Saccharomyces cerevisiae S288C: one gene and its partner. Changing the gene in region 2 together with the main gene of any one other region gives a genetic interaction. Each region holds a gene or a part of one and is shown on either strand. Other genes may lie near its edges.

The links.
Region 1: mutations in PSY2 (region 2) and SOV1 impair growth when combined (synthetic growth defect), as found in Saccharomyces cerevisiae (one study listed by BioGRID).

Annotation. Positions count from the first base shown.
Region 1 is NC_001145.3:399,629-404,805, reverse strand, and holds SOV1 (Sov1p), read right to left. Parts: upstream 3,266-5,177; coding exon 569-3,265; downstream 1-568. Other genes in the region: UBX4 (Ubx4p), read left to right, coding at 1-483; KAR5 (Kar5p), read right to left, coding at 3,590-5,104.
Region 2 is NC_001146.8:260,127-264,782, reverse strand, and holds PSY2 (Psy2p), read left to right. Parts: upstream 1-1,579; coding exon 1,580-4,156; downstream 4,157-4,656. Other genes in the region: NNR1 (NADHX epimerase), read left to right, coding at 330-1,070; SPS19 (2,4-dienoyl-CoA reductase (NADPH)), read right to left, coding at 4,327-4,656.

The DNA of each region.
Region 1 (5,177 bases), on a different chromosome or scaffold from region 2:
ACAAAGAGACTTAGAGAGCAATCAGCCAACAACTTGCCAAAGAAAAATAAGGCTATATCTGAGTGTTTGCTGAGAGTCAAGTTCCCCGATAGAAGCCATATTCAAATAGCATTCAAACCCAATGAAGACATGCGTACAGTTTATAACGTCGTGTCGCAGTTCCTGATCGATGAGAACATGCCTTTTACGTTAAACCAATCTCATCCTTTCAAACCCTTGGCTAAAGACGATAAGAAGCTACTGGATGACCTGGAATTTGGCTCTAAAACAATGCTGCTTTTTGAAACAAATTCAAATTCTAATGGCCCATTAATAAAGGCTCATCTTTTGGAAGACGCACAAAAAATCACACACGAAACGAGGACAACCCCATCAGTTAATACGATAAATAAATCCAATCCACAGGGCCCTTCTGATAACGCTACAAGTATCAAAAAGACTTTAAATAGAGTACCTAAATGGATGAAATTAAGTAAAAAATAAATACAAAGCTAAACAGTCTCCTCTTTTAACTTTATTACAAATATGTACACGTATAGCTAAAATTATATAAAATGCATCCGTTTTTTTAGGCTTTTATCTTTAACTTATTTACATCTTCTATTAATTCTTCGAGTAAAGTAAACTCTGTTCCTAATTCTTTAAAAGCATCTTCTACCATCAAGAAAGTAGAACAATCACTTTTTTCCTTCCATTTTATAAAGATCAAAATCTCCCTGATCAAATGGGATATTGTATTCTCTTGATTTGTACCCTGTGGAATGTTTTTTAAGATTGACTCATTATTCATTAGCTCCGCCTTCCGTAACTTGTACTCACAAGCATCTTTACTGATGTTACTAATATCTCGTAAATATTGTCTTTTCAAACCCTTTAGAATATACATACTCAAATCGTAATCAATATTCAAGTCAAATTTTTTCGTTAGAAACGTTAATATGGCAGGTATTGCTTCTAAATCCCCGCTTTTCATGAACGTGGACACAATTAATTTAGAAAAAGTTTTGTCTGGCAAAATTTCACCATTTTCTGCCGTCATTTGGAACAATACTCTTGGGTGACAAGTTGGGTGAATCTTTATCTGCCTTTTTATTAATTTCTTTACAATGGACGACTTTTTCGATAAAATCCTAGAATTATTTTGTAAAACATGATAATAATGGCAATACACAGACCAAATCTTGTGGTACAGCGGTTTTGTTATGATGCGACGGTTGTAAAATCGGCAAGGGTTTGAGGTGGATAATGAAGACTCAGAGCTCACCTGTTGTTTGGATTCAAGTAGCGGATTGATGATCTCAAAACTTGAATTAAAGTCATACATGCTATCATAAAAATTGAGTATTTCTCTCAAAAAAACAGCATTTGGGATAACCTCTGACTCCTGCATTCTTTTTAAAAGTGACTTCACTTTCTGCTTAAATTCCTTTTTTCTAAATGAGGGCGTATTTTGTGCCTTCATATTTTGAATTTGAAGACTATAAAATTCAACAAATTTAGCGTAATGATATGCATTAACTTCCGAATAAAACTGATTATAGAGTAAATCTGGATCTGTTTTTGATTTCTTTGAGGCTTCTTCTAGTTTTTTTAAGATATTATATGCTTTTTCTTCTTCACCTGTACCGAGAAGTATGTTCAACAAGCCATTAAACTTTCTGGAACGTGACACACTGTTTAATTCCATCCACTGTCCAGAAGCCTGTTTAGTAATGAACTCTTCCAGAAAATCAGTTAATACAATACTTTTTGTTAAGGCCGAAACATTCTCAAACAGCAATTCATTGTATATTGGAGAATTAGTGTTATACTTAGTAATAACGCTCTCAAATGCCTCTTGCAACATTTTCACATTATTCTCAGGCACTACATAATCTTTATTTTGAGCAAAAATGTTTCGTAGCTTTTCAAAATCTTTCAACATATTTAGCTTGGTTTTAACAAGTAGAAATGCGGCATCTTCTTGTGTCGTTCCAGGTATTTCCATGTACTTGCTGATAAGTTGAGCCGCCATGGGAATATTTCTCTTATAAAGATGGAAATCAACAATGCTGATATAATCATGATCCGATGGTATTTCTAGTTCATTTAAGAACTCAGTTGCATGTTTCTCATTCTGAAAATTTTTAACTCCCGTGGGAAGTTCCTCCTGCTCATCTTTCATTCTGATTATTCCAACTTCTTCCACTAACTTAATAAATCGATCAGTCAGTATATTAGCTTCAGTAACATTGCCAATCGACAAATATTTTCGTATGCTCAATTTGGTAACTCTTGGGCTCAAATAAGAATACTTTGTTGAGTACTTTGCATCTGTCTCGGCTAAAAGTTTCCTGAAGTTTCTCAAGTGGTTAGACCTTAATGTGATCATTAATCCTAGTTCATTCCACCAGCGCTCGTTTACTTTGTCTTTATTGGTAATAAATAAACTGTATGCAGCCTTATAGTTTCCAAAAACTAGTAGGGATTCAATATAGAATGACTCATTTATAGGATCTAAACGAACTTTCCCTGTGCCATAAAGTAAATTTCCGACCAAGTAAATCCCTTTCTCCTTCATTTCTTGCACTGGTATCAATTTAACAACTTCAAAAGCTTGAGCAAGTTGGCTGAATGTGACCATTTCTGTTATTGACTCTTTCGGTTTGATTATGCCATTAAACCGTTCATTAAAACTTTTCAAAATCTCCAGTAAAAATGATGTACTCCTTAACGGTATATGGCCCTCTTGATCTTCAAATTGTTCTTGTGCTGATCGGAAAATATCGTTCATTATGGATTGCTCTAAGTCATCTTCATTTCCTTTCTCTTCATTGTATACCTGGGTTTGGCCGGTCGTGTTCAATCTTTTGATTTCTAAATCACACTCTTCGAGCAAATAATTGAAAACTGCATTAATTTTTACGGTGCTATTAGAGTCCTTGCTTTCTAAGGTTTTTTTTAATCTGTTTAAATTCTTGTTACTTCTTTTAAAGTTAGTTTCATTACAAAATTTCAGATATTGAATGAACGTTTCCTGGATAGTATCAAGAGGATTGATCTCCTGAAATTTCTTATTACTGAGAAGATTATTTTCGATTTCCTCTGATGTTTTTCCTTTCAAAATGAGACATTTTTCTGGTTCGTCTGGCCCTATGATGGTCTTATTAAGAACTTCAGGTATATGGGAGGCATAATTCAATGGCGCCCGCTTCAATCTATAAAAACGAATCTGAGACTTTGCTATCAAAGCGCTGCTACAGAGTGAGCGGTTGTATTTGAACATGAGTTATAAATATAGTATGGCCTTGTTTAATACGTTACTACTACCTAATGAATACTACCTGTGCCCATGATATAGAATCTCAAGATCTTTTTGCTTCGTCTTCAATGATAAAGCTGTAGGTGCTGCACTCGAACTCTCTTAAGCAAATTAACTTGGATAGTGACGTAGGACACCTTCTCTAGGTTCACTTGCCCGTATTATGGCCACCATGATCCGGTGTCCTTGAATTTTTAAAGAATATTTATTTTGCTAGACTTTGAATGCGGCTATATACCTATACATCTATGTATATATAGGCTTTCATATATTGTTACATCGGTAATGTTAAAAATCAATCAATGAGCCAGTCTTAGCTCCTAGATAAATTGAAAGTAGAAGAGCTGCCCATTGGTAATAGCGTTTAATAGGAATCATTTTGACGTTTACTCGAGACGTACGGTATTTTGACCAAATCCACACAACGGAGCACAGTAACCAGTAGTATTTATTCTTGACTGCAAGGTACCCACATCTTATAATCATTTTACTAGTTTTCCACATAAAATCCAATACCCTCATCATTGTCATGACATTTTTATGGACAAGTGAGACTCTGATTTCAATGTCGTCTAATTTTTTTTTTGTGCCATTCAGTTTCTCTGAAATATCATTAAAAGTTGAAAAAATCTCCTCATTCCATAAAGCAAAATCTCCATTTAGTGTAGATGTTATAGCTGTCCATTCTTGTAGTAAGGTATTTTTGAAGTTCGTCATCTCAGGTACTATCTCATCCGTCATGGATGGTAACAATGAATCATGAAGGATGGAATTGAACCCTTGCAAGAGCTCTATAGCTTCCATTTGTGATTCAGAAAGATCCTTTGACATGCCTCCTAACTGTTTTTTTAAACCCATCGAGAAGTTTTCCAACTCGGTATTAACTAACTTGTTATTTCTAGAGTAATATTCTTTTACGTCGTTGGACATTTCCACTAGGTCCTGTAAATTATTCAGGCTGTCGTCCTTCAAGTCATTTATCTTAGATTTTATGTCATTTTTAGCAAGCTCATCGGCTAGATCGCTCATAATATGATGGACGGTATCAACTTCATTCATTAGTTGACTGTTCTTCTCTATGATTTGGACCTCTAGTTGTTCGGAAGTTTCATAGAGTACATCATTCACTTTATTTCTAAAAAATGAGAGGTCGTTTTCTAAGATTATTCGATTGCTTTCGGTCGCATTTCGCAGTTCATTGTCATAGTTGCGGAACATCCTGGCCAGATCGTCCAAAAAATTTTGAGAATCTTGCTCCATTTGAAACATCAGATGATTTAACTTAGTATCGACATCATCCCCAAATGAATCATAAAGTTCAGTGATATTTAGAAAAAGTTTCAGTATCTGTTCTTTTTCAAAAGGAAGAAGATTTTCATAACAAATACTCGATAGTCGCTGATAATTTCCACTATAAGTTGTCCACCACTGTGAAGATGATTCTAGTTCAAACATACAATCCATCATTGATCCTAGGTCGTCAACCATGCAATTTTCTGGTATTTCGCCCAAGCCAGATGCCTGAAACTCGCATATTGAAAGTTTAATGGCCGTTTCTACCCTTGTTTCAGCGTCAATGGATTCAAGTCCATTTGCAATACATTGTGGCAAAAATAATTTTAGTGCGTCTTTAACACATGTTGATTTCAAGAATGGAAATTTGGATTCTAATACATTTGTCGCAACGGAATTATCTGTGTATATCAATCTTCCTTGCAGCAGATTGTTGATTTTTCCTAGTTCGGAGCTTGAAACAAACTTAATACAAATTGCAAACAAATAGACGTAGCGCATTTCAAACATTCAAAGTTTTTGAATAGAAACAGTTGTTGAACCAGAATATGTATACTTCATTGGTATTCCGAACCAGTGTTTA
Region 2 (4,656 bases):
TACGAACTAATGATAATTCTTTTTACGTTATTCCTGATGTAAAGGATACAAAATGGGTTTCTTTATTTTGCAGCAGAACCGTAAAATTTACGCTACTTTTACCGTGGGTCCTCTTATTTGATTGTTTCCGTCGCTACGAGCGAACAAGGGGTGGAGACAATAGGGATGGTGAATATATACACATACGTTCATATATAAGAAAAAAACTCAAGAAGAATATCAAACGACCAGGATCCTTGCTTATATTATTGTCTGTTGCTGGGCCAACACATATTTTCATTTCAACACACCAATCTCAGGTATTAAAGAGAAATCATTGTAAGGTAAAAATGTCTACGTTGAAAGTTGTTTCATCAAAGCTTGCAGCTGAAATCGACAAAGAATTGATGGGTCCTCAAATCGGATTCACTCTACAACAGCTAATGGAGTTAGCTGGGTTTAGTGTCGCGCAGGCTGTATGTCGCCAGTTTCCACTGAGAGGCAAGACAGAAACGGAAAAGGGCAAACATGTATTTGTTATTGCTGGGCCAGGTAACAATGGCGGGGATGGTCTCGTGTGCGCAAGACATTTGAAGCTTTTTGGTTACAACCCTGTTGTTTTCTACCCCAAGAGAAGCGAGCGCACTGAATTCTACAAACAGCTGGTTCACCAATTGAATTTTTTCAAAGTTCCTGTCCTGTCTCAAGATGAGGGAAACTGGCTGGAATATTTGAAGCCGGAAAAGACCTTATGCATTGTAGATGCAATATTTGGTTTTAGTTTCAAGCCTCCCATGAGAGAGCCATTCAAGGGCATTGTCGAAGAACTGTGCAAAGTGCAAAACATTATCCCGATTGTTTCGGTGGACGTCCCCACAGGTTGGGACGTTGACAAAGGTCCGATCTCTCAGCCCTCAATTAATCCTGCTGTTCTTGTATCTCTGACTGTCCCCAAGCCATGCAGCTCTCACATAAGGGAGAATCAAACAACTCATTACGTGGGGGGAAGATTCATTCCTCGAGATTTCGCCAATAAATTCGGCTTTGAGCCATTTGGATATGAATCCACAGACCAAATATTGAAACTCTGATAGCCCAAATCTATAATGCCACTACCATACATAATTTTTATATAATCCCTTATTTTGTGAACAAATAGCCATCATGATTCTCTTTTAAGATGATAAAACCGTCGTTTCTTTTTCTGACGCGCCATCTTTTCTTTTTCTATCTGTCTTTTTTTTTTTTCCTTTGGTGTTTCATCCGAAGAAGAAACAAAAGAAAGAAGACCAATACTTTCTAAAGGGCAATTGCAAGGTAGATATAACTAGAATTGCACAATAGAGATTGCTTGCATCAGTGGCATAGTTAACAATATTTTCTCGGCCTCCTTTGACGTAAAATCTAAAAGACCTAGTGCTTTCAAAACCCGCGCATACTGAAAAAAAAAAAAATAAAGAAGAGTGTACTGAACTGGTACTATAATTCATCGAAACTCATTTATTCCATATTAAACCGGTAGAAAACAGTATTTTTTTTGGTCTGTGTTTGAAACAGAAATTCTAACTGAAAAGTTTAGGATTTACGTATAGTAAGAGTAATGTCATTACCGGGTACACCTACTACATCTCCGACCCCGATGGATGAGGATACTGAACAAGCCGTTTCGGTTAATACTGAACCCAAAAGAGTAAAGGTTTACATTTTAGAGAACAACGAATGGAAAGACACAGGTACAGGGTTTTGTATAGGGGAGGTGGACGAAGGTAAGTTCGCATATCTTGTTGTCTCAGATGAAGACTCCCCAACTGAAACTTTACTAAAATCCAAACTAGAAGGAAATATTGAATATCAACGGCAGGAGGAAACGCTTATTGTTTGGAAGGATTTAGGGGGGAAAGATATAGCCTTGAGTTTTGAAGAAAGTATGGGATGTGACACCTTATGTGAATTCATTGTTCACGTCCAAAGGAACATAGAGTCAAATATTTCTTTAGTCACCGTAAAATCCAGCGACAACGGACTCGGGTCTGTTCACGACATTATAACGGGCCCTGTGACCTTGCCCTCCAACGACCAGCAACAGAATAGTCAAACTTTACTAGAAGCTCTAAAGATTTTGAATGAAAATACTTCTTTCGATTTTTTGAAAAACGAAACCATTGAGTTTATCCTCCAGTCAAATTACATTGATACACTGATTTCTCATTTCCACAAAGCAGAAGAAGAAAAGATACCGAAGGATTTATTTTTGCTAAGTAACATCATCAAAACTTTGATACTTTACAATAAAAGAGACATATTGGAGTCAATGGTGGAGGACGATAGGATTATGGGAATAGTTGGGATTTTAGAATACGATACTGAATACCCTACATCAAAGGCAAATCATAGGAAATATTTAGGATCAAAAGGTCCCAATTTCAAAGAGGTTATTCCATTGGAAAATGAGGACTTAAAAATAATAATGAAAAAATGTTTTCGCTTACAGTTCTTAAAAGACGTGGTATTAGTACGATTTTTAGACGATCATAATTTCAACTTAATCTCGGAAATTGTCATGGACCTGGAAACGTGTATAATCGACTTTCTTCAAGTAGGGACGTTTTTGGACAGACTAATAGAGCTTTATGATACCAAAACCCTTCCAGAAAGCTCTTCAGAGAAGGAGAAGTTTGTACAAAAACGAAAAGACGGGATTAGATTGTTGCAACAGTGTGTTCAAATGTCAATCAATTTAGATGCGGTTGACCGTTCTAAGTTCTATAAAACACTTGTTCGAAAGGGTCTATTCAAAGTTTTAGATTATGCATTTCACATGGAGACGGATAGTAATGTTAGGATTTTAGCTACGGATACTATCATTACTATAATCGAACACGATATCTTGTTAATTCACAACGTTCAGAATGAAGATTCTTTCAAACGGCAACATAAATCAGCGCCCGATGACAAGTCTTCCCATCGGAAATATCCGCAGGATTACAGCTCCAGTACTGATTCCAAGTTGTTATTGATACTTTCAACCATTCTTCTGTCCGACAGGAGTCCCGGATTGCGAGAACAAGTTGTGCAAGCGCTAAATACTTTGCTTCACCCTGAAGGATGTGTGGGTAATGGAGAAGGTTCATATGATCTTATGGGCAGATCAAATTATGAAGCTAAGAACACATCTGAAGATTTCCCAAGTTTCAGTTATGGTTTAAACTCGGATTCAATCAATTTAAATAACTATCACTATAGCAGCGATGAAATGAATAATCTAGAGCCAGAATCTGAATCTGAATTTCAAGTAATGGAATATTTTGCAAATTTCTATAATAAAATCGCACCCATACTGTTTGGTCCATTAATCAAGAAGGATATCACAACGGAAATGGCAGAAATAGATGGGCAAATAGAAAAGGTTACAAAAGACGATCTTTTGTTAATTCATTTAGTGAAATTGGTATCATTTGTTTGCACTGAGCATGATCGTGTCTTATCCAGAAGATTCATATTAGAAAACGGTATACTAGATTCTGTTAGCAAACTTATCGGCGGTAATCATATGATGCAGCTAAGGTTAACAGCAGTAAGATGCATTAAAAACCTTATGTGTCTCGATGATAAATACTATCATCGATATATGATTTCAAAAAATTTATATGCGCCGGTTTTTAAACTCTTCCAGGAGAACATAGATAAGAATAATCTTGCAAATTCATGCATTCAAGATTTTTTCCGCATTATTATAACAGAATGTAGAGCTTATCAAAGTGATGGCCATAACAGAAAGGAAAAAACCAATGGTTCTTATGATGGCAACGGTAATGACGTCAAAACGAACGTGAACAACAATAGGACAAACTTTACCATTTTAAACAAATACTTAGTTCAAACATATGGTGATGTCTTGAGAAAAGCTACTGATATCCCTTTCATCCAGGATATGCTAGAAACCGGGGAAGAAAACCAACCCGATCATTCTAGCTTTGAAAATAGCATTGAAGGGGGGAATGACATTTCTGTAAATATGTCAACAGATGGATTTGCTTCGAATCATTTAGAAGATATTGACATTAAAAACGTCAAAAGATTACATTCTGAGATTGAACACTTTGAAAATGACCCCCATTATTCTGGTGATCAGTTAGCATTTAAAAAAAGCGTTGACCAAATGAATGCAAGTACTTGAGTTTTTCCTTGTTGGAAAGAAGAATAAAAAGCTAGCACAACGGTCATGGTTGTAAGAAGTTTAACAACGATAGTGCACTCATTGTATATAAAATTCATCAATATACAATTAACTATCAAAAAGCATACGAGAAAGTGTCATATAATAATAGTACTCAATACCTATACGTATTATAATTTAGATGTCATACTCTTTATTAAGGCTTCTGGATACAACTCATGTCCAAAATAGGTCCCTAAATGCCACATACCACCGTCAACAACTAAGACGGTACCGGTGACATACGATGCGGCGGGTGAAAAAATATAAACAGTAGATTCGGCTATATCCCGTGTAGATCCAAGCCTTTGTAATGGTATCTTTGCCAAGGCCTTTTCCTTATATTTTTTGCCGGCTAATCTCTTCAAGCCTTCCGTATTATCGATAGCACCTGGAGCAATGCAATTCGAACGTATACCCAGAGGCCCCAACTCAACCGCTAAATTCTTTGCCAATGCGTC